7 linked regions of the Sus scrofa genome follow. The protein of the gene in region 1 interacts with the protein of each later gene in a pairwise test. Links are inferred from orthologs where the notes say so. Each region holds a gene or a part of one and is shown on either strand. Other genes may lie near its edges.

Region 1 (4,130 bases):
GGGAGGTCCCTTCCTGGGGTCGTCAGACTGGAAGACGTAGGTCTCCTCTTCTGCCAGTAGGCAGGACCTGACGGGGACTGGCCTCGGGGCCTTACCTTATTCCGGAGCTTTAACTAGTCTTGCTTGGGAGTTGGTCCGTCTCTCCACCGAGTCCGGTTGGGGTTCGGCCATTGGGAGGACTGGAGCACCGCCACGAAGGAGGACCCGAAATACCGTCGGGTGGAGCACCGCCTCGTTCGCCTCCGGAGCTCCCCAGCCTTCCTGCAGCTTCACCGCAGCCCCGGTGGCTCAAAGGGCCAGAACGGTTGGGGTCTCGCTGGGGCCTCCAGAAATGTTACAGCTCCACGTGCAGCACCGACCAGCGAGAAACCAAGCGACACTGGGAGAGGAGGAGAATTTAGCTCTCATACCCGGCCGGCCTGGGGAAGATTGCTCTCCAGAACCCAGGCCCCGAACAGGGGTGCTACAGGCTTTTACAGGCCAGTTCTTCTGGGTCCACGCTTGGAGGGGTGGACCGGAGTGGGAACTGGAGGAGCCGGCGGCAGGGAATGTTCCAGCTTTAGGTGTGGGTCTGTTAGTGGTCACATGATCATGGGGGGGCGCTGAGCAAGCGGGGCTTACAGAAGCAGAACTTGCAGTTGGAGAGGTTTTCCATTAGTAATGTCAGGTTTTCCCTTTCATTCCCCCAGGGCCAGCCCTGGGTTAGGGAGCGTCCGCTCTTCTCCTCCCATCGGTCGGGCAGCCACGCTACCTTTTGTACGGGGTCAGCTCATTGGGCAGATTCGGCAGACGCCCCGCCCTGAGCCCCGAACTGGCCAATTGCAAGGAGTTTCACGGCCTGCCGCGCGCGAGGGGTTGTCACCGTGCTGCGACGCTTCGGGGATCCCTAGGCCTCAATGATCTTTGCTCCCCGGCCCCGGGCCCTAGCCCCAAGGAGACCTCCAGGACCCGTGCCCGGGGAGGTGCCCGCGGGGCATCCGGGGGGCCCTTGGAGATCTCGGCCTCCTGGTTGCCCCGCCGCACGCCGGCGTGTCCTCGGATAGACGCGGGCCCCGCGAAGGGGAGTTTGCAGACGCTCCCTCACATAAGGGACGCGGCTCCTTTAAGGGCACAGGTGTCCAGGGCGCCGCCTGACTGGAAAGCCGCCCCCGGGGCTGGGCTCCCAGGCCTGGCCCGGGGCGCGGGCGCCCGGCGGCGGGGCACGGGCGGCGGGCGGCGCACAGCGACGTGGACGGCGCGGGGCGTGCGGCGGCAGCGGCGGGGCGCGGGGCAGGCGCGCGGCGGGCAGACTCCGCAGGCCCCGCCCCGCCCCGCCCGCGCCGGGGTCCTCGAGCGCTCGGGCTGCGCGCGGAGCGGGCTCGGGAGGGAAGTCCCGAGACAAAGGAGCGCCGCCGCCGCCGCCGCCGCCGCCGCCTCGTCCGCCTCACTCGCCGGGCCGCGGCCGCCCGAGGTGAGCGCGGCGAGACGGGCGGGCCGGGGACCGGGCCTTGTCGGGCTGGGGCCTCCGCCGCCGTCGGGCCCGGCCAGGCGGGCTCCCTCCACCCGCGGCCCGGCCGGGCCCGCTCCCGGGAACCGGCCTGCCCCGGTGTGTTGACGCCGCGGCGTGGGCCGGCCCGCTGGGCTCCGCGGCCCCAGACGGCGGGGGCGTCCACTCGGGCGCGCGCTCGGGGCGGGTCGCATCGCGGCCGGGCCGCAGACGGCGCCCGCCGCTCGGGCTGCGCTGACAGGAGCGCGAGCGGGCGCCGAGCCCTCCGCCGAGGCGGAGCGTTTCCGGGGTCACGGTCTGCGCGCGAACCTGTGGCGTGTGCCAGCCCTGGAGACGACGCATCGCACAAAGAGCGCAAAGCCTCGCGCTGCGGCAGCGCCGGCCCGTTTGGGGGTGGTGTGTGGTGTCTGTAAATCAAAACAAGTCCGAGTTCTTGCGCCTCCGGAGCCTCGGCCGCAGTTGGTGGGACCCTGGGCACCCGCGCTTCCTTTGACGGGGAATTTTCCTCCTGGGACTGCTTTGTACCAAGTGCACGGAGGCTGGAAGTGGTAGTTGAGCCAGGAGCAGGAAGGCCAGAGAATGATTAGCTGGGCTCGCGGTAACGGCCTGCACCTGCCTCTCAATCACAGAATTCACTGGTTTGGTTTGTGTGGTTTGAAAACAAGCTTAGTTCCTCGGGTTGCAAAGTTGTTGTTCTGTGTTTGCAGAGTTGGTGCCCTTTCCAGACCCCTAACCTCAAACGTTTCTTGCTACTAAGGAAAACTTTTTGGGTTGGAAGTCTTCCCACCAGAAGAGGGGAGTGGATCCCAAGTTTTCCCTGACTTGCTCATGGCCCGCCGGGTGGTTTAGGGGGTGAACTCTGCATCTTGTTGCGATAGTCTTGCTCGGGATTTGGGGCCTGGCTGCAGAAACGGGCAAGAACAGGGCGTGCACCTGGGCTGGAGAGTCTCCCGAGTGCAGGGTGCCTGCATCAGGTGAAGCAAATGCCTTCCCCCTGGGAAGCTGATGTTTGGGTGGGAAGGGCCCATCCTGGGCTGCTGATCCTTGCTCACTTTCACCCTGGGCCAACCCGTGAGTTCACAGTGCTGTGGCTTATCGCACAGCTGAGAAGGCTGAGGCTGGGAGAGAGAAGCATCTCGCCCGCATGTGCAGCCAGTTAGTGGCTCTGCAGGCTTTGCTGTCAAATCGCAGCGTGTGATCTAAGAAGAGGGGATTCAGGCACAGCTCACTCTGGAGGAAGGTGGCGTGGAGACTTCCAGAATCTGCCTGGACATCCCAGCTGCTGTCCTGCAGGCTAGCGGTTCGTGGGTATTTCATCCTTGCATCCTAACAATGTCCATCTCTGGAGTGTCTGCTAACATTCAGCTGCTTCGGGTGACTCTTGGTTGGGGAAGGCAGATTTAATTTTAAGTGGGATTCTGAAGGAGTAGCTCCCCTTGTCATTAAAATGTAACAAATTGGGTGCTTTCTCCCGGATAAGGGAAGGCCAGGCCTCTCTGCCTGGGCCTGTGGCTCTTCACCCTTTTGTTGCCTGGTCTGGTCCCCTGGCACCCCTGAGGAAGGGGAGGCAGGAGTTCCTGTGGGACCCCCCCCATTACCTTTGGCGCAGCCACAGCTGGGCTCTGGGACAGCCTGCAGAGGCAACTTTGTCCCTTGTCAGCAGAAGAGGTGGCCTGTGGCCGGGTGCTGGCGCACGGTCAGCAGGCAGGCAGCACTCAGGATGGCCCCCCTGGCCTGGTCTGCATCCTGGACAAGCCGTGACCCCTGCCCTCCTCCCCGAGCAGCCTCAGTTGCCCATTTAGTATCCATGGCTCCTCAGTGTCCACAGTGGTGCCCTGGGCCTTCATGACCCATGGTCAGCGCCTGGCCAGGTGCAGACTCACGGGGAGCAGCCGCTTGCTGGACTCCTGCCTCCGTTAATTCAGACGTGTCCGCCTGCTGCCGCCTTTGCCCTGGCTGCCCAGGGGCTGCAGAGACCCTCCAGATTCCTCAAGCCCTGCGGGAGGGGCAGCCCCACTAGCTGCTGGAGTGGGTGGGGCAGGGTTCTGTTTAGAAGTGAAGGGTTGGGGAGTTCCCGTCCCGGCTCAGAGGTTAACAAACCCGACTAGTATCCCGGAGGATGCAGGTTCGGTCCCCGGCCCGGCTCAGTGGGTTAAGGAGCTGGCGTTGCTGAGCTGTGGTGTCGGCCAGCGGCTACAGCTCCAATTTAACCCCTAGCTTGGGAACCTCCATATGCCACAGGTGCAGCTCTAAAAAAAGACCAAAAAAAGTGAAGGGTTGGAGGCAGTCAAGGGAAGGAAAGCTTTTCAGACTCGGGGTCACTGCCCCCGCCTCCCTTGGGCGGTCCCTGGCCCTCGCAGCCAGTGACCCTCCTGGCTCTTCTTTCTGTTCCTGGTGAGCCCGCCTGGAACAGTCCCTTGCATTGCTGCAGCTTGTGCCCACGCGGGCACCTGACCCTGTAGGACCGGGTGCCTCCCTGCCATCGTCCTGCTTCCTGTGTCCTGGCACCTAGCACTTCCCAGCACACGTCTTCCTCCTGCGTGGGCCTTCTGCACAGCCACAACTCTGTCTCTCCTCAGTTTGTGTTGTGTGAACAGACAGATCCCAGGCGGGGAGTTCCCATTGTGGCTCAGTGGTAACAAAC
Region 2 (4,062 bases), on another chromosome or scaffold:
GGTGATTTTTTTTTTTTTTCGTTGCACCCTTGCATCCTTTATGCTATGCCAGGGACTGAGTCCGAGCTGCAGCTGCGACCTAGGATGCAGCAGGACAATACAGGATCCTTTAACCCACTGCCCCACCGGGACCAAACATACACCTCCCCAGCCACGGGAGCCACTGCAGTGGAATTCTTAACCCAGTGTGCCACTGCAGGGACTCCTAGAGAGGTACTGTTTTTATTCCACTTTTTCAAATAAGGAAATTGAGACGCAGAGAAATAAAGAACTTGTCCAAAGTCACACAGATGGTAAGCGGAGGACACCGCTCTTCACCCAGGCCTGACTGTTGTTCCTTACCACTGTCTCTCCTGCAAGGAATCGCCTGATTCCCAGCTACGTAGCCCCTTCCCCCAGTTCCAAGGTCAGGGGCTCGAAGTAAGCAGAAAAGCAATTTAACTCAGTACACATTAACTCGTGGTTCCCTCCAGGCTACCACCCTTCTCTAAGGCTTCGGCTTGGCGTGCAAAACGAGTACCCACATCTTGCATCAAAGTTGTGCACTTCTGACGGGTCTCAAAGATGAGGCTGTGTTGTATTGGAGGGGGTCACCCACTGTCGTCGCGTGTTTCAAGACCCAAGCCACATTTCTGGCACTCCTAGAATCTGGCAATCTCGAACTCTCTTTTTAGCAAACACTGACCACGAACTGCCTCCCGGGCCTGCCAGCAAGTCAGATGCTTTGAATTCAACGAAGGCTTCGGCAGGTCAGATGACAACAGGAATAGTTTACCTCCTCCCCGCCTTAGGCAGCAGGACCAAGAAGTGGTTCAAACACATCCTTAAGCGCCCAGCGCTAGATCCTGCGCCGCTGCAGACCTGATCCAAGCCCCTCGTCCTGCTCCATGCCTAAAGCTCCGTGTCTCGACCCAGAGCTCCATCCTAAGTGCCAGGTTGGCGGCGCCGCACGCCTTCTCAGCTCTCTGCTGACTCAACCCGGGAAAGCGTAACTAACCTCTCGTTTTTTTCCGACCAGTCCAAGGACGCCCGCGTCCCGCCCCGCCCACCACTCAAGCCCCAGCCCCGCCTAAAGTTGCCCTTCTGGTTTGCGCCCGCGGGACGCGTCAGCGTGTCTCCCCGGGGTGTGGCTAAAGGACTTCAGCGACGCCTTTCTGAAGGGCGGCCCCCTCCGCAACCCGGAAAGGCAGATCCCGCGCGGCGGCGGCGGCGAGTCGGGCATGCTCACTGGCGCGGGCCGGGCCGGCAGCCCTGGCAGGAAGCGCCCGCGCTAGGCGGCCCCCGGCGCTGCCAGCTGGAGTCGGGCGGAGCCGGCGCCCCAGCGCAGGGTGGCTCCGCCAGTCCCCGCGCGCCTGGGCGGCCTCACACGTGTCCAGGCGTCACGTCCGCGCGCGCCCCCGGGGCTTGCGTCAGCTGCTGCTCCGGTAGCGGGTGGGCCGAGGTTCTGCGTACAGCTCGGCTTTGGGGCCACGACGCCGCGGGGAGGAGGAGTCTGGGGGTGCGGAGGGGAGTTCGGAGCTCCCGGGGCCGCAGAGATCGTCGGCGTGGTCCAGTCCCCCGCCTGCCCGGCGCCGACTGTCTTCACTGCTTGGTCCTGGGCTGGGCGCGGTGGCGTTGCCCCGGAGCCCGCCGCCCGCGGGGCGCGCACCGCCTTGACCCCGGCGGCCCCGCGGCAGGCAGGCGCCCGCAGTTCCATGGTTGGTTCAGAGCGCGATGAGCCGCCCGTCCTCCACCGGCCCCAGCGCTAACAAACCCTGCAACAAGCAGCCGCCGCCGCAGCCCCAGCACGCTCCGTCCCCGGCTGCGCCCCCGGCCGCCGCCACCATCTCGGCTGCGGGCCCCGGCTCGTCCGCGGTGCCCGCCGCGGCGGCGGTGATCTCGGGCCCCGGAGGCGGCGGCGGGGCTGGCCCGGTGTCCCCGCAGCACCACGAGCTGACCTCGCTCTTTGAGTGCCCGGTCTGCTTTGACTATGTCTTGCCCCCAATCCTGCAGTGCCAGGCCGGGCACCTGGTGTGTAACCAATGCCGCCAGAAGTTGAGCTGCTGCCCGACGTGCAGGGGCGCCCTGACGCCCAGCATCAGGAACCTGGCTATGGAGAAGGTGGCCTCGGCAGTCCTGTTTCCCTGCAAGGTAAGCTCAGGTGCCAGCTGCGCACTTTTCCCGGCGACCTGAAACTCCCTTATCCTCCAAACCACTCGCAGGCGCTGGGAGGCAGGCGGCATCTCTCTTATTTTAACAACAACAACAACAAAAGTTTACACCTTGTCCACCCTCCCCCATGCCCACCTGTCCACTTTGGGAGTAGCTTTGGGGTGACAGCTGCCCGATCACTGACCCCAGCCTAACTGGCACGCGATCGCTGTTCGAACACATCACAGCTCTCCCACCGGGAGCCTGCGTACTCTGCAGACGTGTACTTGGGTGTGCTTGGTAGAGCTGGGCCGCTCAAGTAAAACTTGGATCGGGAAGCTGACCATCTGTGAGGGATTGAAGAAGGGGAAAAGGGTAAACTAAACGCACCCTTTACCAGCACTGGCCTTGGAAGGAGTGGTACTAGATTCCTCCTGCATGGTTTTGCGCACCCCTGACACATGGGAGCCTTTTGCACACCCCTGACACGTGGGAGCCCTCCGGAATGAGGCTAAAAAAAGGGTACCTATAGCCTGTTTTCCTCCAACAATAAGAAAACCCTCTAAGCCATGCCTTTCCCTCTCCTAGCCTTCAGAGTTTTGTGTTTTGTTTTGTTTTTTACTAAGGGGTGAAAACAAGAGTTGATCAGGAATTTAACAGGAAGGGCATTCAGGAGCTGTTACAGTTCTTTAAAGAACATTGGTTTATTTTTTATTCAGTTTAAAAAGTTATCCATGCTCTTGAAAAAAAAAAAGAAAAAGCCAACTACTAAGACAAGAAAAAACAAGTGAAAGACCAAGACCTCTCACCTCCTCTCCCACCAGTGTCAGGTTTAGTGTGCATCTTCATAGGCTTTTTCTAACCATATATAAATATACTCTCCGCAGCTGAATATAGAACCCTAGAACCCTAGATGTCAGTGTGGGAAGGTTTATATATGCACACACAGACATAAGTGTTTCTCCAAAAATGGCTTCTTCAACTTGCTGTCTTAACTTCATATCATCGTGTTTTTCTATGTCTGAAACATAGCTCTACCTCACTGTATTTTAGAGGCTGTATAATACAGCATTGTGTGGTCATATGGTAATGTCTTGTTACTTAAAAATCTTCAGGAGCCATTTCAGAGAAATACCTATCTATATTACCTCATTATAATGTAGAATGTTGACCATAAAGTTCTTCTTCTAAACTTAATGTCGTTAATACTTTTGAGGGTTTGTTTGTTTGTTTGTAAAAGTGAGCACTCTGCCTCTTGGGCCATTTAGGCTGTATTGCGTTTCTCCTTGGTGCTGCTTACTTTTATAGGACAAGAGCTTATTTTTAAATTAAAAATAATCCACTAGAGAACTGAAGGCTGGGACTTAAGTCAGTAAAATGAGTGATTTAATTTGGTCTGTGCCCTGCCACAAGTCAAGTTTAAAATAGCATACTCAAATAAGGGTCTGAATCCATGTTTGGGGTTTTTCATCAGCCTTAATAAATTATTCTGCTTTCAACCACTCCTCATGTAATGCTTACTAATTCCCCAGTCTAGTAGTAGTTTGTCATGAAATTTAGACAAAATAGTTGTAGAATTTTCTTAGGGTCATGAAAACGTGGGAACCTAGTGATCATGAGAAGATTTGGTGATAGGTGACATAAGAGGTTTGAATTTGAGGTTTGAACTATATTGTAGGGGCTGGGTGAGGAGGTGGGGGATGCCCCACAGGGTTTCTGGGGAGCCATCTTCTCCACCCTTCACTTTCCCCTGAACCTTCAGTGGCCAAGAGAAGAAATGCCTTTAGATGAATTACAGTTCACAAAAGAGCATTTGATTCAGCTATCCCTAATATTTTTATTTTTTTTATTTTTTGCTTTTTAGGGCCGCACCTGCCACATATGGAAGTTCCCAGGCTGGAGGTCAAATCAGAACTGCAGTTGCCGGCCTAC
Region 3 (4,039 bases), on another chromosome or scaffold:
GATGACACGAGATGACCTCTCTTGCCGCCACAGCCTGACTCACCCTTCCCGGGTCCATGAGCTCCTCCCACTGTCTCTAGTTCCTGACCCACTGCTGCCCAAGCCCTGGAGCAGAACAGGCCGTAGCTCCCGCGACACCTTGCACCAGGAACAGCACGCCGTCAAGAAACCCCTGGTCAGGCTGGTTTTCCTCCCTCAGGCCTTGATGGCTCCTTAAGTCTGTCCTCAGAGCCCTTGTCATGTCCCGACAGGCCGAGCCACCGGGCATTCCTTCCTGGGACTCCTCTGTTGCAGACACGGGCCCTGTGCTGTCATCGCCTGAGACCGGGCTCCAGGAACAGGAGCTTTGGGGTCCGTCTTGTCCCCGTGCATTCTCCCCAAGACCCCCTGTCTTTGCGTCTGACTGGAGTGCCCGCCTTTTGGGCACCGTGCTTTCCTGCTCCCTTCTCTCAGGAGACCCAGGGCACGGCTGGTTTTTGGAGACTGACACATGGGGACTCCCAGTCTCCTGACGGGCATAGCTATGCACAGAGCTCTCGAGGCCAGGACCCTGGACCCTCCCCAGGCTTCTGATCTAAAGTGCCCTTCAGGACGTGCCCCTTGCCTTCCAGGCTGCTCTCTTCGTTGCAATATCCGCTTCCAGCTTCTCAGCCTGCTCCTGTTTATTTCTGAGTTTCTCGAGTGCCACCTGGAGCTTCTCCTGCAGAGAAAGACAGCGGGTAATGCCCAGTCAGACCAAAAAGTAGGGTGGGGGGGCACAAGGTCCAGGAGGATCCTACTGGTCCTTAGAAAAGCCTGAGGCGGGGAGGAGGAAGGGTGAGCCTCTGACCGGGGTGGGCATTCTGTGATGGGAAGACTCTGGAAAAAGCCTGATGTTTCTTAGGAAATAGAGGTACCCTGTTGGCGTGGTGGGGGTGGGGACACATTCGTTCCTAATTAACCAGGAGGCCACACAGAAGCATGGGCCTTGCAGCCTTTTCCCACAACAGACGCCCTGCTCCTGGGCAGTGGGAAAATCGTGCCGAGATGGTGGGTCTTCCCTTAAATAGGACATAGAAGGCAGGGGATCCCCTTCCTGTCCCCAACCCCTCAACTCCACAGGTGACTCGGTCCCACCCCCAGCCCGGGAGAACAAAGCGCTTATCAGGGCCCCACCTTCTTCCCGCCTGCTCGTGCCCAGGTGCCTCCGGGCTAAGGCCTCACCTGGTACTCCTGAGCCGCCTCCTCAATGGGGACCATGGTGTGGTCCCGGTGTTTCCGGGACTGGGAACACACCCAGCAAAGGACCTTCCCATCGTCCTTACAGAACAGGTGAAGCTTCTCTCCGTGCACCGCACACAGCTCCCACTGCGGGCCTTCCTTGACCCCCTGGCTCATCTCTTTGAGGTTATCCACCATGTTGGCCACCTGCCGATTGGGCCGGAGGTTCCTGAGCAGGAAGTGCTGCCGGCACACAGGACAGACGCTGCCCCCATCCTTCCCAACCTCGGAGATGCATTCCTGGCAGAAGCTGTGGCCACATTCGATGCTCACGGGCTCCACCATGGGATCCAGGCAGATGGAGCACGTGACCTCATCCCACATCCTTGCCAAGGGCAGTGCTGAGGCCATGGTGCTGCCGGGCTATGAAGCAGCGCTGAGGAGATCTCGGGGTGGCCTAGCGGGGAGGGGAGAAAAGGAAAGAAGGCGATGAGAAGAGCTGTGTGAGGAAAACAGAACAATTCAAAGGAGACCTCGAGGGAGCGTGAACTGGAGGGGCTGAAAACAAAGGTAACAACGACGTCAACCTGAGTCACAAGGGCTTCTCCTCCGGAGTCTGGTCCAATGAGCCAGTCAGACAGAAGGGGAAACTGAGTCCTCAAAAGAGATAGCAAAAATTGCTGGGAATCTGAGATCAAGCTGCTTACAGTTCCACTTTCATGTCTATCTCTGCTGAAACCCTCGGCGCCCAGGCTTACTCGTCCATCTTCCATCTCCAGCCACTGGTCCTCTTGCTCTGCTGAGAAGCTAATCCTAATAGCAGCGACCACTTACCATGCCCCTTCCCCCGTGCCGGGAGGCACATACTTCACATTCCTCCTCATTAATCCCTGAAACTTGGCAGGAAGGAGCTATCTATCACCCACAATATGAACATATAAATAAGTATATATATACACACACATCTGCACGTGCACATATTTATCCATATGTGCAGGTGTACATACCTATGTGTGTACACACACACAGACACACCCACACACCCACACATGTCTAAAGAGCACTCCCCCACCTGTTCCCTCAGCTTCCTGAAGCAGGCACCTGTCTTTGTTTCCTCCAGGGCACAGACCCCAAAACTTCTAATACCCTAAGCAACCCTGCCCCTGTCGTTTCCAGAGGGGACTTTTGTGGATGGGCGTCTCGGGGATGGCAGGCCTACCCCGCCCTGGGCTCCGGAGGACTTGGAAGTCGGTTCACAGCCCAGCCTCCTCCCGGGCGGACGGCAGCACGGGGAAAACCGCCGGTTAGGGTCGAGGGAACCCTGCGCCCAAGAGGGCTCTGGGGCAGCAGAGAGCTCGGCTGCAAGGGGCTCTTCAGATCCGGGGCAGCGGAGAGCGGTCCCCCGGGGAGGCCTGGGGTACCCGGGTCTAACCGAGTTCGTGAATCCACTCACCTTTTCAAGGGACTCCGCAGATAATAGCTGGCTCCAAGTTTCACTTTCGATTTCCCGCATTTCCCGTCGAGCGCAAGTCTGAAAGGAAGGGGAGGGAAGGGGCGGAGGCGGAAGGCGGGAGGCGGGCGCGTTGAGCTTCGGCCAGTGTCAGCGCCCCGGGGCTAGGATGGCTCAGAGGCTCCGCAGCATCCAGTCCTTGCTTTGCGCTCCTTTCCAAGTCTCTCTGTCTAGTGGCCTCAAGTAGTGTGACTGCTCCGTGGAGAGGCTGCTCTCTTTGACTCGGGTGCTTAGCCCCAGCCTCCGTACCGTGCCACCCAGAGCTGCCTTAAGGAGTTTGGGGTGACCGAAGGAGCTCGGGGGAGCTCTCCCACAAAGGCCACCGTCTCTAGGGAGTTCCCTTCATGGCTCAGTGGTTAACCAACCCGACTAGGATCCATGAGGATGTGGGTTCCATCCCTGGCCTCGCTCAGTGCGTTAAGGATCTGACCTTTCGGTGAGCGGTGGTGTAGGTTTCAGGCGCCGCTGGGATCTGGTGTGGCTGTGGCTGTGGTTGAAGGCCGTCCCCTGTAGCTCTTATTTGATCCCTAGCCTGGGAACCTCCATATGCCACAAGTGTGTTCCTGAAAAGCAAAAAAAAAAAAAAAAAAAAAAAAAAGGCCAGTTTCTCTCTCCTACTTCAGGAAAAAATTCTTTTTAGGAGATGCGGTAATTAACATTGGGGAGAGAGGGATTTTTTTCCTGCATTTCTCCAAGGTGGGTATCACACCAGGGAGTGGGACGAAGGGGCCTGACATTTATTGAGCACCAACTGTAAACTTCTCACTGAGCTAGGGGTTTTCTCAGGTTTATTATTATCAATTTTAAAATTTGCAGCAAAATACACATAGCATTCACCATCTTAGCCATTTGTAAGTGTCTAGTTGCGTGGCATTAAATGCATTCACATTATTGTATGACCGTCACACTATCCACACACAGAACTTTGATCTTGCGAAACGTGAACTCTGCCCCCATTAAACAATAGTTTCCCATTCCTCCCTCCCCTCAGCCCCTGGCAACCACCATTCTGTTCTCTGTCTCTGTGAGTTTGACGTTTTCGGTGCCTTACGTAAGTGGCATCCTACCGTATTTGTCCCTTTGTGACTGGTGTATTTCACATAACCTGAGATCCTCAAGGTTCATCCACCGGAGCCGGTGACAGGACTGCCTTCCTTTTAAGGCTGAGCGATATTCCAGCGTCTGAGTATTCATTTTGATTATCCGGTTATCTGTCGACGGATGCTTGGGGTGGGTGGCTTCCGCCTACTGGTTAGGGTTAGGGTTAATACTGCTGTGTCAGGTTGTTTGCTTTAAGCCACGCAGCGACTTAGCAGTTGAGTTATTGTC
Region 4 (3,500 bases), on another chromosome or scaffold:
CCAGATGCCAGGCAGAACACTGGCAACGGAAGATGCCCCACAGCGGGGGGACGGCGACAGGGAAGACCCATTAAACAGCCCTGAGGCCACTCGCACCCCACCTTCTGCAGCACCTCGGAAGCCTGGGAAGACCCAGCCCTGGGCTTCAGGACAAGTGCTCGCTGCCCAGAACGTGACTGTGGTTCCCTAGAAGCACCCGGCAGCTGTGCTGACGCTCCAGCTCCAAGTGGAGAAACGCCTTTTTACATCGGAAAAATCAGAAGACTTTGAAACAAGACATTCTGGCATCCTGGCGGATGGATGGGGGTGTGGGGTTTGTCTTGTTTTTTTCAATACCACTCTGCAGAGAAAAAAAGATGGGCAGCGAGAGCCAATTTAAAGCAGCAGCTGGGGTGATGCTTTGGAAGCAGGGGGAACTTCAGCTAAGAGCCCCAAGCCCTTCCGTCCCTCCTCGTATGCTAGATGAGCCAAGATAACCCAGATGGAGAAAAGTCCCCCGGCTCCCTGCACCCCCACTCCAGGCCGCTGAAAGGGTAGGAGAATAGTTTCTTCCTGCATCGCTGAATCAAGGAGGCAGTTCATAGAGAAAACCGGAGTGGGGCCGGTGCGTTTCTGTATCAGCAGAGTGCTTCGAGCCTCATTTTTTTAAAAAGCATTTACTGCATCCCTAGCCCTGCTCGGTGGGTTAAGAATCTGGTGTTGCCTCGACCTTTGAAGCGTGGTTTTCTCCAAAATGTAACCCTAGCTAATCATGACCAGTTCCTAGAAAAGGAGAACTCTGTGACCTCCGGTTTTGATTACCAACCACATGCGACATTTTCCCTTTGAGTTTAGGTGATTTCCTTCAGAAATTCCAGCATGTAACCTGGTTTATCATGTGAAGGAACAGAATTTCTATGGTTGGGAAAGAGCTTAGCATGGAATTCTGACTGATACCCAAAGTATGTGTCAGGAATAGGGTTCTGTCATTGTAATAGAGACCTTTTTAGGTTGACTTCTTAGAAGCTCCTAAAAAAAATAGTATTTCCTTGGGAAAGGGCGATGCAAATTCCTAAGGGAGGGTTTGTTGGCATGACCGGTTATTGGCTTTAATTCTCTTCTGGCGGAGGACGCTTGTTTTATGTATTATTGAAAATCGAATACCTGTCCTTCAGAATTCCTTTCCAAAAACGAGGCATTGTCTAGAGATTGGTTCCCAGGTTTTCAGCTACAAAAGAGAACTGCGCTCCATGAAGTGGTATTCGCTCACCTGGCTGGCATGTCATGGTGATGAGATCAAGAGATGTGGTTCCCTCTGGGTCTGTTCTAGAGCCACAGACCAACCCTTTATCTCAGCCAACCATCCAGCCAGGCTCCCTGCTGTTGGGAGGACCAGGCCAAAGGATGCAGGGACTGTGGCAACCCGGCGTGAGAATGACAGGCCCTCGAAGGGGTCAGGCGTGGTACCCCAGGCTTGAAAGCTTGGATTTTCTGTGGAATTCCCATACACATAGCTGCCCACATTTCCGCATCGCTCATGATTTTTTTTTTTTCCATTCTTCCTTTTCAGGGCCCCTGAGATCATCCTTGGTTTACCATTTTGTGAGGCAATTGATATGTGGTCCCTGGGCTGTGTCATAGCGGAGCTGTTCCTGGGCTGGCCGCTGTATCCAGGGGCTTCAGAGTACGATCAGGTGGGTCCACACGGCACCGGTATTGGCGCAGGCCCTGTCCACATCAGCACCTCGCTCCCGACCTGGCGGATGGATGGGAGTGTGGGGTATTTTCCCGTCTCCCCAGCCTTGCAGCCCTTCGCCTTGCTTCCCTTTATCCGCCTTTCTTTTCCCTTTTCCTCTGATGGCTCCTCTCCATCCTTAGAAAAGTGTCATTTTTCTCAGAGGCACTAGAGCCATTCGTCCACCCCGTGTGTGGTGACAGGAAAAGCCCTGACTTCATTCTCCTCTTTTCTTGCAGATTCGGTATATTTCACAAACACAGGGTTTGCCAGCAGAATATTTATTAAGCGCAGGGACAAAGACAACTCGGTTTTTCAACCGTGACACCGACTCGCCCTATCCTTTGTGGCGGCTGAAGGTAGGTAGGAGACTCTCCCTTGGATTCGGCCACGGGGCGGATGCATTCGAATGCTCAGGAGCCCCGCTTGGCCGGCCCTGCTGCCTTTGGCCTTCTGCCTCTGAGGGCGCACCTCCCAAGATCTGGTGGGTTCCGAGCCGGAAACATGAACCATCCCCTCGCCCTGAAGGAGCTGCCAGTCCAGAGGGAGGCCGAACCCGTGCAGCCAGCCCAGCCCCCTTCCCGTGACCCGCGTCCTGTTCCCAGCAGGAGCGCAGGAGGGTGGGAGCCCGGAGGAGGGCGCCTTTAACCCGAGGTGACAGAGGGTCAGGAGGAGCCTTGGAGGGGGCCCTAAAGGATGAAGAGGGCCTTCCAGGCAGAGGAAACAGCCTTAGCTGCATCTGAAGGCTCCCGGGAGGGGGTCCCCCAGCGGGCAGGTGGTGTGGCCGCCCCATTGCACACCGTAAACCCCGTGGTTTGACTCTAACGGAAACATTTTTTGCTTTCACTTTGATCTGTGCCTCGTAATTAAAATTAACTTTTTTTTTTTCCTGGGAAGGAGAAAATAATGCAGATCTTAAGGGTGTTTTATATTCATTTTAGGTGCTTCCTTTTTTTGCAAGGATGTGGGTGGGTGGTTTTTTTGTTTTGTTTTTTTGTTTTGTTTTGTTTTTTTGACTGAAACCACAGCCAAACTATAATACATTTAAAGATAATATGTAGCCAGTGGTTGCAAAAGAGTTAGGAAAAGAGATTCAAAAGCTAAGCAAGCATCTTAGACTGTTGACCGGAGGCTGGCCTTTGGCATCTGTGAGGGTGAGTTTGATAAATTAAATTTAAAAATCAAACCATGCAGAAAAGGGCTTCTGCTCTTCCACCTGTGGAATCTGACCTTATCCCTTGAACTTGGGGAAGAAAGTCAGCTTAGCGGGGATATGGCATATCTTGCTCATCTGGGGACCCTCCAGACCAGACTCAGAGCTGTTCACGGGAAGGAAAGAAGAAGGATGAGTGAGTTAGTGTGGAGCACAACGAGAGAAAGTAAGTAGGATGCAGGAGTTCCCGTCGTGGCTCAGTGGTTAACGAATCCAACTAGGAACCATGAGGTTGCGGGTTCGATCCCTGGCCTTGCTCAGTGGGTTGAGGATCCTGTGTTGCCATGAGCTGTGGTGTAGGTCGCAGATGCGGCTCAGATCTGGCGTTGCTGTGGCTGTGGTGTAGGCCAGCAGCTACAGCTCCGATTCGACCCCTAGCCTGGGAACCTCCATGTGCCGCGGGGAAGGCCCTAGAAAAAGGCAAAAAGACAAAAAAAAAAAAAAAAAAAAAAAAAAAAAGAAAGAAAGAAAAGAAAAGAAAGTAAGTAGGATGCAGGTCACTCAAGTCTCTTCCAAAAGGTGGGCAAGTCTTTTGCTTCTTTCCTGTTGGGAGAGGCAGACGCTGTAGGGTTT
Region 5 (3,994 bases), on another chromosome or scaffold:
GTGTAGGCCGGTGGCTACAGCTCCGATTCAACCCCTGGCCTGGGAACCTCCATATGCCGCGGGAGCGGCCCAAGAAATAGCAACAACAACAACAACAGACAAAAAGACAAAAAAATAAAAAAAAATAAAAAAAAAAAATGTTAAAAATCATACTTGGATGGACTACGTGGAATAAATGCTAAAATAGAAACTGGACCATAAACAAGAAGGAGCTTAAGTGCAATAAAATCAGTTTTGACTGGACTTTCTCCCCCACCTCCCCTACTCATTCTGAGTCAGCTGTTACATGTGCTCCAGGGAGTTACATGTGATCCAAAGGATCACCAGGGTACTGACTTTGATTAATTCCTCCTAATGATGAACGGTTACCTGCTCTAGGAGTAATTTGGGGAATGAAAGGGGCGACAAGGGGAAGGGTCTGCTGCCATCCCACCATCCACCTCCTCTTCATCATCCATCTTCATGGAAAGTTAACACCAGCTAGGAATTAATCTTGTTTCCTACTGATCCATGCCCCCTTCAAAAGTGAGAAAGTAGAAGAGAAATGGAGGGCCATCCTCTCATAAAAGTTCTGAGTCCAGTATTTAGACACAGTAAATCATTCTACTTCCATTCTACAATATAAACCAGTATAATTTGCAAAGGTGAAGGAGAGTCAAGAAAATAAAGATCAAAAGCACCAGAGAGACTCACACAACAGTGGAGGTGAGGGATAGAGTCAACAGGTAAAGAATGCCTCGTACCCTAAAGTTCACCAGTGTTGCTGAAGCATTCATCAGCACACCAATAAACACTATTTATGAAATAAATGCCATCTGGAAGAAATGATCAACAATGTTAACTATGTGTCAGGGTGAATGAAAGATAAACTAGCAGCTTTTCCCAGGAATCTACCTTTGCTGGGATACGGTAGGCCATTTTCTTGGGGATGACAAAAGATCAGTCTACGGACGTCCTTAAGAGTATATTCCCAAGAACCCTAAGCCATATTTCTATCAAACTAAAATTTAACTCTTCAGATTTCATATTTTCCCTAACTGTAATTATTCTATCGGAAAGATCACTGTCACTAAAGGACTAAAGTTCAAGGAGAAACAAAAGTACCACAGGATTCTATCATAATGTGGCCCATCACAAGGATTTAAGACAACAGGAATCAATTCTTACCATCTGAAGCCCTGTGTAACCCAGGTGTTCTAGACCAATATAAAGGAACTCTCCTGTAATCCAGTTTTCCCCAGGAGATTTTTTTGTGCATATGATGATCTATGCATTTTATTTTAGGTCACTAGCAGAACAATGGGCTTAGCATTACCAAAATGCCCTGTATGTGTGCTGTATGCTTACTTCATAGTCCATTTTATGCTGCTTATTTTAAGAGAGCAACGTAGTAACTGGGAAGTGGTTCCTTCAGCACAAAATGATCTAAGCCACCAATGCCTTTCAATTCACTACGCCAAAACAACAAATCGCGTCAGGAGGCAGTAAACTCAGTTTGTATTCAACATAATATAACTACTAAGCAAGCAAAGCATTACTGTTTAATTTCTTGACCTAGGAAAATAGTTACACATTTATCATCAATAGTTCAGACTTATGATATAACACATATTTATTATTTTTCCAAACACTGTAGAAAAAGCACGATTTAAATTCCTATTCAAAGTGTGAAAAGCAAGCAAAATGTAGCTTGTAATTCTTATGAATGAAAGTATTACAGGACAGCAGCTGCTAAAACCTCCCAAAGCTCAGAAGATGGAACCCAGCTCCATCTTCAAACAGAAAAGGAATCCTAAGAACACAGCAGACCTGCAGTAGGAATCAAGGATTCAAGTGTCTGGACAACCCTGGAGGAGTCATTGCATAACCTGAAGTTTGTTTTAAACTGAGAAAAGTAGAGCTGCTCAAAAGAAACATCTCCAGCTCAATTACGCTGCAGCCATTCCCTGATCCATTCAAATTCCACCAGCTTATAACAACTTGCCCAATTCACAATTTAAGCAACCCAGTCTCTTAACAGTAATACCTTTTCTCTTCCTTGTCCCGGATGCTGGTAAACAAGTGAGCAAGACGCCCCTCCAGGAGTACAGAAAAGGTAAGGGAGACTTCCCGGTCATGAGAAGCCAGGCAGCTCATAGCCTTTCCCCCACGAATAGAGACTATTTGTAACAGAGGGCCCTACTGGACACCTTCCGTTCCTAAATTTGTCCAGGGTCAACTTTTCAAGACAGGAAGGCACGTGCCATGCCCCATACACTCCATTCACTCCTCAGAAGCACCGGCTACAGCGGCAGAGAAATGAAGCACCCTCCCGCCCCGAGAGGAGTCGACCACACCTCCCCATGAGCTCAAATTCGCCTGCGTCTCCAAAAATGGGAGCCATTGCTGAGCTGTCCTCTGCTGGGCCCTAAACCTTCGTCTGTCTCCCAAGTTTGTCTTCCCAAATTCATCGGCTAGGCTCTGGCCAGCTCGGTGAAGGACAGGGCTGGAGAGTGCGCAGCAGCGACTGGACGAAGCGGTGCAGCTCTCAGTCCCAGCTCTGGAGCTACCGCTGCAGGGTCCGGCCCGCGGGGAGAGCCATTTGGAGGCCTGGGCCGGGCTGCCGCTGGGAGAGCCTGCTCCAACGCAGATTGCCAGCCGGCCGAAGGCTCAAAGCACTCAGGGCGGTGGCTGCCGCGGCAGGAGAGGGGCGGGCCGGCGCATGGAGGCGGGGCTGCAAGCTCCGCCCCACTCGGCCTAGGGCGGCTCCAGGGCTCGCAGTCGCTCCTGCACGGCTCTGGCAAGAATCCCGAGCATGCAGCGCGCAACTCCCACACAGCTACCCAGCTCCGCAGAACCTCGCGATCCCCGGAGACATACCGCACGCCTCAGCTTTTCCACCGGCTTACGTGAGGTGGAAACACTCCGTTTCAGTAGGCCCAAACAGTCGGATATCGCAATTTGGGGTGGTTTCATAGCGCTACATAGAATATATGGAAAATACGTGGCCAGACAAGCACTCTTCTCTGCTCTATACTCTGCCAGTTAACCGTGCAAACTCCGGATTTTTATATAGCAAAAGCATTTGTCTACTTCATTAACTATTTATCAGATGTCAACTACCTTATTTCCTCAATTCTAACTCACTTCTCCATTTTTACCGCCGTCAGCACCTTATTTCAAACTTCCTTTCTCGATTCGAGAAGCCGTCGCAGTGAGAGTCGTAAACACATAACCATATTAAACTTCTACTTCAACGTCCAAATTGAGATTTTATTCTCTTCCCACTCTGGGAAAGCCATCTTAAACGCCCTCATTAAACAAAATAGCTTGTTTTGTTTTTAAACAAGCATTACCCTTGTCCCAATAAAGTCCTGGGCCTCAGATTCTCATTGCGTCAGCTCCAGCATTCAGAGGTTTAACCTGTCATTACATCACGCTTAGGGCAGCCTTTAAAGGGAGCAAGAGCTTGTAGTGGAGAGTGAACCCTGTGTAAATTGTAGATTGTCCATTTTCAGCATAAAATTTTAATTCAAATCACTTCCCCATCCTATTAATAGTATTCAGTCACCTCAGTCTCATTTTGATATTAGACAAAACATCATTAGGAACTGAAACATAACTGAAAATATAATCTGTCCACGGACAAATCTAAATTATTATTACCAATGTCTTTATTTTTTAATACATATTCACTCTAGCTAGGTGTTGGGTTTCTAAAGTAGAAGACTTTTAAATGTTTTAGGCAGAAAAACTCTTTCCAAACAGTATGAAGACAGAGTCCAAATTTGTAAAACAAGTAAAAAGGATGACAAATTCCTCAAACTAAAAAGTTTTTTTCCTCCAACTTCCAAAGGACCTGTATTGAAGCTTACAACACTGTCTGAAAACCATTAATCTATGGACACATTTCTCAGTAAGTCAGTCACGACAGTAAAAATGGAAGAGTTCCGGAGTCATCTACACTGGGATTCAAACCCAGCTTTCACCACCTACTCAACTGTAAAATCAGAAC
Region 6 (3,935 bases), on another chromosome or scaffold:
GGTCTCTGGCGCAGGGGTGGCCTGCAGTCCCGGTGGGGTCCCTGGACCAGGGGTCTGTAGTCCCAGGGTGGATCTGAGTGATGGTCCTGGGGTCTGTGCGGGGGCTCAAGGTGAGGGCGGGGCTTCCCTGGGTCTCCTGTCAGCACAGGGGCACATGATCTGGGTGGGGGGGGTCCATAGTTCTGTGTCCTGGGGTCCAGGAGGGGGAACCCTGGGGTCTGGGGTCAGGTGGGATCCCAGGATCCAGGCAGGAGTCATGGTCCGGGCTGGGTCCTTGGGTCTGGTGGGGCACTGACAGACAAGCAGGGGTCCCTGGGGTCTGCAGTTTAGGTGGGGGTCTGGGAAGGGGGTCTCTGGGGTCCATGGTCCTGGAGGGGGTCTGGGGTCCCGGGTCAGGCAGAGTTGGAGGGGGGTTCCCTGGCATCCACAGTTTGGGTGAGGGTCTGGGGGGATCCCTGGGGGTCTGTGGTCCTAGTGGGGGTCTGGGGTCCCGGGTCAGCCAGGGTTCAGGTTCAGAGCAGGACCCCCTGGGGTCCGCAGTTTGGATGGGGTTCCGGGGTCGGGAGTGGAGGTGGGGGATCCCTGGGGTCCGTGGTCCTGGAGGGGGCTCTGGGGGGGGTCTCTGGGGTCTGGGGTCCTGGTCAGCCGGGCTCCAGGGTCTGAGCGGGGGCTCCTGTGGTCCTCAGTTTGGGTGGGGGTCGGGGGTCTGGGGGGGGTCCCTGGGGTCCATGATCCTGGAGGGAGTCTGGGGGTCCCGGGTCAGGCGGGGTCAGGGGTCAGAGCGGGCGTCCCTGGGGTCCGCAGTTTGGGTGGGGGTCGGGAGGCTGGGGTCCCAGGGGTCTGTGGTCCTGGTGGGGGTCTGGGGTCCCGGTCAGGGAAGCTACGGGGTCCGAGCGGGGGCTCCTGGGGTCCTCGGTTTGGGTGGGGGTCTGGGGTCTGGGGGGGGTCCCTGGGGTCCATGATCCTGGAGGGAGTCTGGGGGTCCCGGGTCAGGCGGGGTCAGGGGTCAGAGCGGGCGTCCTTGGGGTCTGCAGTTTGGGTGGGGGGCCGGGGTCGCGGGTCAGGCGGGGGCGGGGGTCGGCGCGGGGCCGGCGGGCTGGCGGGCGGGCGCGCGGGCGCGGGGGGCGGGCCGCTGCGGGCGCGTTTCCGCCGTCCGGCCGGGCGAGCGCCGAGTCCCGCGGGCGGCGCGGAAGCGGCGGCCGGGCAGCCATGTCGCCTTTGTCTGCGGCGCGGGCGGCCCTGCGGGTCTACGCGGCGGGCGCGGCGGTGATCCTGGCGCAGCTGCTGCGCCGCTGCCGCGGGGGCTTCGCGGAGCCAGGTCAGCGGCCGGGGGCGGGCGGGCGGGGTCGGGGCGCGGGGCCGGCGGGTGGCTCGCGGCGGCGGCGGCGGCGGCGATGGCGGCGGCGGCTCCGGGCCCGGGCGGTGCGTCCCCCGCGGGGCGCAGCCCCCGAGGCGGGGGCAGAGCGGGGGAGGGGCGCGCCCGGGCCCCGCGTGCCCTTGACCGCGGCCTGGGCCCGTGCGCGGCGCCGGGCGCTCCCGGAAGCAGGGCCGGGCGGCCGCGGGGGTGGAGGGCGGGTCGCCCCGCCCGCCGCTCCTCCCCGCGCGCCCGAGGCCGGGGTCTCCCTGCGGTGTCGCGCGCCCCGACCCACCCAGCCGGGCCGGGCCAGGGTCCTCGGGGTCCCCAGGGTCCCGCGCGCCTGCCCCGCAGCTCCCCGCCCGGAGGGAGGAGGGCGCGCCGAGAGCCCGGCCTCCGCGCAGGGTCAGGTAGGACGGGCTCCGGGGGGCGTGCGGGGCCCGGGGGGGCCTCGGGGGCAGGGCCCTTCGCTTCAGGGGCACCTTGCTTCTGCGGCCTTAGCGACCTGCGCCCGCGGCGTCTGCGACCCCGAACTTTCCGGTGTCGGGACCGGTTCGCGCTCCGAGCGCTGCTGGGGGGCCCGCGAGGCGCTGTGTGGCCGGGGCCGCGTCGGCTCCCGTTGGCGCGCCTGGGACTTCAGCCGCAGACCCGGAGCGTTCCTGTCTGCCCTGATTTGCAAAGGAAGCAGGATAACGCCAGGCTCTGCGAGCATACGTGGCTTTTTATTTTTAGATGAACAGTAACTCCTTCCCAAACAGAGGGGTCGGTGGGGAGTGCGGTGCTGTGTTACTTTGTGGCCGCCTTTGGCGTGTGGCCTAAGGTGAGAAATCCTCGGAGGTCCGCTTCTGTTTCCACGCGGTTGGCACCGCCCGCCGCCTGTCTCTGGCACACACCCCTGGGCACCCCTGAGAGACTGGGGTGCAAACAGGCCAAGTGCATCTGACTGTGGCTGTGAAAAATACTTTAAATCCCTCCACCGCCCCACGCATGGGGGTGCCTGCGGCCCCACTTTGCAAACCTGCAGCTCTGCGCCCCACAGATAATTTTTTTTGGCGCCCCACCCTCCCCGTGGGGTGGAGACTTAGGGAACTCTTCCAGGTGTGCATGTGACAGAAGCGTTTCGTTTTACTGTCAACCTGATTTCTCATTCTTTCTTTCTTTTTTTTTAAACGCTTTGAGAGCGATTAGAATGGAATAGAGCGAGTCCCCGCTGTGGCGCATCGGGATTGTGGCGTCTCACGGGGAGGCAGGTTCGATCCCCAGCCTGGCACAGTGGGTTAAGGGGTCTGGCGCTGCTGCAGCTTTGGCCGTGGTCCCCGAGATCGGATCCCCGGCCTCCATATGCTGCCGGGTGGCCAAAAAAAAGAAAAAGGTATTTATTTTGGAGTTCCTGTTCTGGCTTAGCAGGTTCATTGCTGGAGGTTTCAGATATTTCTGTGAGAATCGGGTTCCATCTCTGGCACAGCTCAGTGGGTTAAGGATCCGACGTGGCCCTGAGCTGCAGCTGCAGCTCGGATCCGAGCCATAGCCTGGGAATGTCCATAGGCTGCCGGTGCAGTAGTAAAAAGAAAAACACACTTGAATTGAGAGTAAGGAGCCAGCCAGTACCTGGGGTTTGGGGCGGGGGCGGGGGGATGGGGGGTACAGGCAGAGGACACCTTTTAAATCAGGCCTGGCCTGTAAATAGTAAACAACGTTGGAAAGCTGTCCCAAGTGGCCCCCATTGACCCAAAGGGTGGCACCCCCCCGCCCCACGGGACAAGGTAGGCGGCTGGCTGTGCAGCTTTGCTCCCCCTGCGTGCCTCGCGCCCCTTCGGGGCAGGCTCTTCACCTGCTCAGGGACCTGGCAAGTGGAGGGTGGAATTGGAGCTTGCCACACCCCATTCCCCAGAAGGCCCGTCTCAAAAACGTGTTTGTGGTGCATCCAAACCAGGCCTTGCCTTGTTGTTTCCACCTGTTGATTTAGAAAAAGAGCAGAAAAGCCTGTAACCGGACCCACTGGGGACCAAGCGGTGTGTGGGCGGAGTGAAGCCTTCCTCCTGCTGGAGCAGAGGGTCAGCTCCGTTTAAGAGGAACTGGACGAGCTCTGCAAGCCACGTGGTCTGTTGGGTTAGAAATCCTTGCAGAGCTGGGGGGAGCCAGGCACGTGTGTCCTGAGTGTCTGGTGGTGGCCCTTGTCCCACATGTCACAGTCCTTCTGCTTTTTGACCTTTTTTTTTTTGCTAACTGGACGTAACTTTTGGCAAGGAGACATTGAACGTTGCCCCAGGTGGAGCTGAGCAGTAGCAGGCCCAGTCCACATGAAGCATAGCTGGGGGTTGTTTGGTTTTGTTTTAAACCTCAGAGGTTTTCTGGAGTTCCTCTTGTGGCTCGGTGGGTTAAGACTCCGACTAGGATCCATGAGGACGCGGGTTCTGTCCCTGGCCTCGATCTGTGGGTTAAGGATCCGGCGTTGCCACGAGCTGTGGGGTAGGTCACAGGTGCTGCTCGGATCTGGTGTGGCTGCGGCGAAGGGGCCGACAGCTGTAGCTCCCGTTCAACCCCTAGCCCTGGGACTTCCATATGCTGCAGGTGCGGCTCT
Region 7 (4,266 bases), about 23 Mb from region 1:
CCTTCCCAGCCCACTGCCTCAGCCTTCTCCAAGAGCCAGTTCTTCCTGTCCCTACTCCCCGCCATACTCCCTCATCTCCTCCACGTTGGTTGTCTTCTCCAGCCTCTGCATGGAATGGATGTCGAGGTACTTCCTATCATAGGAAAAGAGGGGAAAAGGTGTTGGCCATTATGCATTAGTCTTAGGACAAGGCTATGATGGCTAGAGCGTAGGACTGGGAAGCAAGAGACCTGAGTTAAGAGGTTTGGCTCTTCCACTAACTCGCTGTGTAACTTTATAACAAAGTCACTGAGGCAGCGGGAGACCTGGCTTATAGTCATCTTGGGTAATTGTATCTCTGGGCCTCAGTCTCCTTGTCTGTAAAATGGGAATTCCGTCCTGTTTGACAGGCTCGTAAGGAAGCGCTAAAGGAATAATACAAGTGTGAAGGGTAACTTTCCCTCAAAGCTCTTCACACTCACCATATGCAGATCCGGGGCTGGGGTAGCGGCGGCTGCGGGAGAGAAAGCGGATTGGGAAAGGCAGAGCTGCGTTGTTAGTCCTGGCCCGTGGTTCTTTGCCCTTGGTGAATCTCTGGTGGTCTAACAACGCGATACCTTGCCTTCTCATCTTAAAAACTGTGTACTAGCAATACCGGCGGGCTGGGCTTCGGCGATCCCTAAGTACTATTCATGAGCGTATTGACAAGCAGTTCAAGCCTGCCTCTTCACCAAGGCAGCCCGGGAAACAAACGGCCCCCTGCCTGGGAGCCCTTTTATAAACATTCATGAGCAGACCACTCTGACCTGTCCTCACCGGGAACAAGTTGGCTGCAGGATCTTCATTCGCATCCACTGAGGCCACGGTCCCTGACTCGGTCCGCACTCCTGTTCCCATCCTCTTGGCCGATTCATCCAACGAGCTGAGGTCCTTCTCATGGTCTTTCTCATGTTCTCGCCGCAGTTCGGAGTGCTGGTCCAGCTCCGACCGCCTTTTCAGTCGCCGGAATTGGCTGGATTTCCGGCGGATCATCTGGTCGCTCCTCTGTGTCGCGGGTCCCCACCGTCTTTATCCTGCCTCGGTTCTGGGACAGCCGATCTCGGGCGGCGACTGCCAAGGCCTGGCCCTTATCGACGCTTCAGCCAATCTACGCTGCAGAGAGGCCGGGTACAGCCAATCGGCTGGGGGCGTCCCTCCGTCTCAACGGTGACGGTTGCTAAGGAGGATCCAGTAGGAAGGGAGAAAGTGTACCGTGCTCGCCAAACTGTGAGAAGAGAATGCGCATGCATAATAAGATGCAAACCCCGCCCCGGTGCCCTCTCTTCGAAGTTGTTAATCTGAGGCAGGCGGCGTTATTAGGACTGCGGAGTGGAAGTGTGTTGTCAGTTACCATGGCAACTGCCTACCGGCCAATCACTGAGAGAAAGAGGAGGTGTTCAGAAAGAAACCAAACGGACGCAAGAGGAGGAACAAAGCACAACCAATAGAAACAGGAACTGGAGAAGATTTCGCCACATCCGGCGCTGCCTCTGGCGCCTGCGCTCTGTGCTGGGGGGCGGGGGTGCCCAGTGACGTCCGGTGAAGTCCAAGATGGCGGCGCTAGGCTGATCCTGCTGCTGGTGAGGGGCCCGGGGCCGGCGGGGCGGGGTCCGGCAGCTGTGTGCGGGGGTAGGCTCGTGGCTGCGGACCTCCGTCCCCTTCCCCAGCTCTACTCTCTGTCTTCTGCAGGTGACGGAAGTGCCGAGTCCGCCTGCCTGACGTCCTCGAGAGACCGGGGGCCGCTCCTCGCCGCCGCGGCCATGTCTGGGCCCGGCAACAAACGCGCCGCCGGCGATGGGGGCTCGGGGCCCCCAGAGAAGAAGCTGAACCGCGAGGAGAAGACAACAACAACGCTTATAGAGCCCATTCGTCTTGGGGGCATCTCTTCCACGGTTCGTGGGCTCCTGCCCCAGCCCGCCCAACTTCCCAGAACCGTTTTCCCAGTTCCCCAAGTTTAACCAGATCCACTTTACAGAGCATTCTGTTGAAGGAAACCTAGGACATGACGTCTGCCTTCCCCTCGCAGATAGGCAAACAGGTTCCCAGAGAGCGTGTGACAGACATGTCAGACTTCAGGTAGAAAGAGGCAGGAGCAGAACGTGACGCTCCTTACAAACAAGACGCTTCCTCCGTGGGTGTCTGAGCTTTGTATGTCCTGTTAGCAGTCTGCTCCCCTCTCACATCCGTTCTATCTGCTTTCCTTTGTCTCTTTCTCTGATTGGTTTCTTGGGCCCTTCTTGACCCTCTCTCTCCTCGGCCCCTCTGTTTCCTTGGTAGGAGGAGATGGACCTGAAGGTTCTGCAGTTCAAGAACAAGAAACTAGCAGAGCGATTGGAACAGAGACAGGCTTGTGAAGATGAACTCCGAGAACGAATTGAGAAACTGGAGAAGAGGCAGGCTACAGATGATGCCACACTCCTCATTGTCAATCGCTACTGGGCCCAGGTGAATGCCCCTCTCCTTTACAAGACTGGGCTTTGATCCAGCTGCCAGTTCTCAGACTTCTCTGTTAGAAAGGGAGTATCATGCTAGGAAGCACCTGAGGGATTCCTAACATTTTTGGTGCTTTCTCCTTTCAGCTGGATGAAACTGTGGAAGCCCTTCTCCGACACCATGAGAGCCAGGGGGAGCTGTCTTCAGGGCCAGAGGCGCCTGGGACCCAGGAAGGGCCAACGCGTGATGAGACCCCTCTCACAGAGCCAGGAACATCGGAGCTGAGGGGTAGGGCCAGAACCCTAGGATCTAGGAAGCTTAATTAAGTTCTGGGAAAGGTCCTGGAGAGGAAAGGATCTTGATAATCAGGCTGCTGAATTCCCTGCCTATACAAACACACACACACACAATTGATTTTATATTTGGGCAGCAAATCACAGTGGATAAGAACAGAGACTTTGGAATCTGAATGACTTGGTTAAGAGTACAATTCAGGTTTTATTTATTTATTTTTTTTGTCTTTTTGTCTTTTTGTTGTTGTTGTTGCTATTTCTTGGGCCACTCCCGCGGCATATGGAGGTTCCCAGGCTAGGGGTTGAATCGGAGCTGTAGCCACCGGCCTACGCCAGAGCCACAGCAACGCGGGATCCGAGCCGCATCTGCAACCTCCACCACAGCTCACGGCAACGCCGGATCGTTAACCCACTGAGCAAGGGCAGGGACCGAACCCGCAACCTCATGGTTCCTAGTCGGATTCGTTAACCACTGCGCCACGACGGGAACTCCCAATTCAGGTTTTAAAAGTATTACATGTATTTGTATTATGACTGTGTACTTGGCACTGGTGTAGATTTGGAGGAGACAAAGATAGTTAAAAAAAAAAAAATTACTGGGAGTTCCCTGGTGGCTCAGTGGGTTAAGGATTGGCACTGTCACTGTGTGGATGAGTTCGAATCCTGGCCTGGGAACTTTTGCATGCCGTGGGTGTGGCTGGGAAAAAAAAAAAAAGGAAAAGAAACACTGTCTTAGCTATTAGGGTGAAAGTGACTGTAAACCACACACACACATAAAAGCAGAAGGGCTCCTGAATGGGAATTGGTATGTGTGCACTAATTTATTTATTTATTTATTTATTTTTGTCTTTTGTCTTTTTTGTTGTTGTTGTTATTGTTGCTATTTCTTGGGCCGCTCCCACGGCATATGGAGGTTCCCAGGCTAGGGGTTGAATCGGAGCTGTAGCCACCAGCCTATGCCAGAGCCACAGCAACGCGGGATCCGAGCCGTGTCTGCAACCTACACCACAGCTCACGGCAATGCCGGATCATTAACCCACTGAGCAAGGGCAGGGACCGAACCCGCAACCTCATGGTTCCTAGTCGGATTCGTTAACCACTGTGCCACGACGGGAACTCCTTTTTTTGTGTGTGTGTATGTGTGCACTAATTTAGTTTGGGAAGGCAGAGAAGGCATTTCTGAGGAAATGTTTGGAAGCTCTCCGTCCTTGAGGAAATTACCTCCTGGAACCTCAGTCGTTGCCTTTTTTTTTTTTTTTTTTTTTTATTTTTTTATTTTTAGGGCCACACCCACGGCACATGGAGGTTTCCAGGCTAGGGGTCCAATTGGAGCTATAGCAACGCCAGATCCACGCGGCATCTGCGACCTACACCACAGCTCACGGCAATGCCGGATCCTTAGCCCACTGAGCGAGGCCAGGTATCAAACCCTCAACCTTATGGTTCCTATATGGTTCCTAGTTGGATTCATTTCCGCTGCGCCATGATGGGAACTCCAGTTGTTGCCTTTTTAAGATGGGAT

The links.
Region 2: the proteins of UBE2I (region 1) and SIAH2 interact in a two-hybrid assay, tested with the Homo sapiens proteins (3 studies listed by BioGRID and IntAct). The link is inferred for Sus scrofa from reciprocal best matches to the Homo sapiens genes UBE2I and SIAH2.
Region 3: the proteins of UBE2I (region 1) and TRIM21 interact in a two-hybrid assay, tested with the Homo sapiens proteins (2 studies listed by BioGRID). The two-hybrid records come from large-scale screens. The link is inferred for Sus scrofa from reciprocal best matches to the Homo sapiens genes UBE2I and TRIM21.
Region 4: the proteins of UBE2I (region 1) and HIPK2 interact in a two-hybrid assay, tested with the Homo sapiens proteins (5 studies listed by BioGRID and IntAct). The link is inferred for Sus scrofa from reciprocal best matches to the Homo sapiens genes UBE2I and HIPK2.
Region 5: the proteins of UBE2I (region 1) and SIAH1 interact in a two-hybrid assay, tested with the Homo sapiens proteins (2 studies listed by BioGRID). The link is inferred for Sus scrofa from reciprocal best matches to the Homo sapiens genes UBE2I and SIAH1.
Region 6: the proteins of UBE2I (region 1) and ZBED1 interact in a two-hybrid assay, tested with the Homo sapiens proteins (4 studies listed by BioGRID and IntAct). The link is inferred for Sus scrofa from reciprocal best matches to the Homo sapiens genes UBE2I and ZBED1.
Region 7: the proteins of UBE2I (region 1) and RNF40 interact in a two-hybrid assay, tested with the Homo sapiens proteins (2 studies listed by BioGRID). The two-hybrid records come from large-scale screens. The link is inferred for Sus scrofa from reciprocal best matches to the Homo sapiens genes UBE2I and RNF40.

Annotation. Positions count from the first base shown.
Region 1 is NC_010445.4:40,566,142-40,570,271, reverse strand, and holds the start of UBE2I (SUMO-conjugating enzyme UBC9), read left to right. Parts: upstream 1-1,330; 5' UTR 1,331-1,450; intron 1,451-4,130. UniProt on the Homo sapiens protein: Accepts the ubiquitin-like proteins SUMO1, SUMO2, SUMO3, SUMO4 and SUMO1P1/SUMO5 from the UBLE1A-UBLE1B E1 complex and catalyzes their covalent attachment to other proteins with the help of an E3 ligase such as RANBP2, CBX4 and ZNF451.
Region 2 is NC_010455.5:90,968,739-90,972,800, reverse strand, and holds the start of SIAH2 (E3 ubiquitin-protein ligase SIAH2), read left to right. Parts: upstream 1-1,262; 5' UTR 1,263-1,713; coding exon 1,714-2,130; intron 2,131-4,062. UniProt on the Homo sapiens protein: E3 ubiquitin-protein ligase that mediates ubiquitination and subsequent proteasomal degradation of target proteins.
Region 3 is NC_010451.4:5,780,894-5,784,932, reverse strand, and holds the start of TRIM21 (E3 ubiquitin-protein ligase TRIM21), read right to left. Parts: upstream 2,801-4,039; 5' UTR 2,654-2,800; intron 2,627-2,653; exon of another isoform or gene 2,420-2,626; intron 1,658-2,419; 5' UTR 1,612-1,657; coding exon 1,204-1,611; intron 701-1,203; coding exon 605-700; intron 1-604. UniProt on the Homo sapiens protein: E3 ubiquitin-protein ligase whose activity is dependent on E2 enzymes, UBE2D1, UBE2D2, UBE2E1 and UBE2E2.
Region 4 is NC_010460.4:10,080,968-10,084,467, forward strand, and holds part of HIPK2 (homeodomain-interacting protein kinase 2), read left to right. Parts: intron 1-1,549; coding exon 1,550-1,673; intron 1,674-1,953; coding exon 1,954-2,073; intron 2,074-3,500.
Region 5 is NC_010448.4:36,359,366-36,363,359, reverse strand, and holds the start of SIAH1 (E3 ubiquitin-protein ligase SIAH1), read right to left. Parts: upstream 2,801-3,994; 5' UTR 2,118-2,800; coding exon 2,027-2,117; intron 518-2,026; exon of another isoform or gene 455-517; coding exon of another isoform or gene 370-454; intron 1-369. UniProt on the Homo sapiens protein: E3 ubiquitin-protein ligase that mediates ubiquitination and subsequent proteasomal degradation of target proteins.
Region 6 is NW_018085344.1:633,006-636,940, reverse strand, and holds the start of ZBED1 (zinc finger BED domain-containing protein 1), read left to right. Parts: upstream 1-1,135; 5' UTR 1,136-1,209; coding exon of another isoform or gene 1,210-1,318; intron 1,319-1,546; exon of another isoform or gene 1,547-1,764; intron 1,765-3,935. Other genes in the region: dehydrogenase/reductase SDR family member on chromosome X, read left to right, coding at 1,210-1,318.
Region 7 is NC_010445.4:17,633,191-17,637,456, reverse strand, and holds the start of RNF40 (E3 ubiquitin-protein ligase BRE1B), read left to right. Parts: upstream 1-1,466; 5' UTR 1,467-1,598; intron 1,599-1,707; 5' UTR 1,708-1,778; coding exon 1,779-1,910; intron 1,911-2,295; coding exon 2,296-2,463; intron 2,464-2,597; coding exon 2,598-2,739; intron 2,740-4,266. Other genes in the region: CCDC189 (coiled-coil domain-containing protein 189), read right to left, coding at 68-133, 462-493, 796-1,011.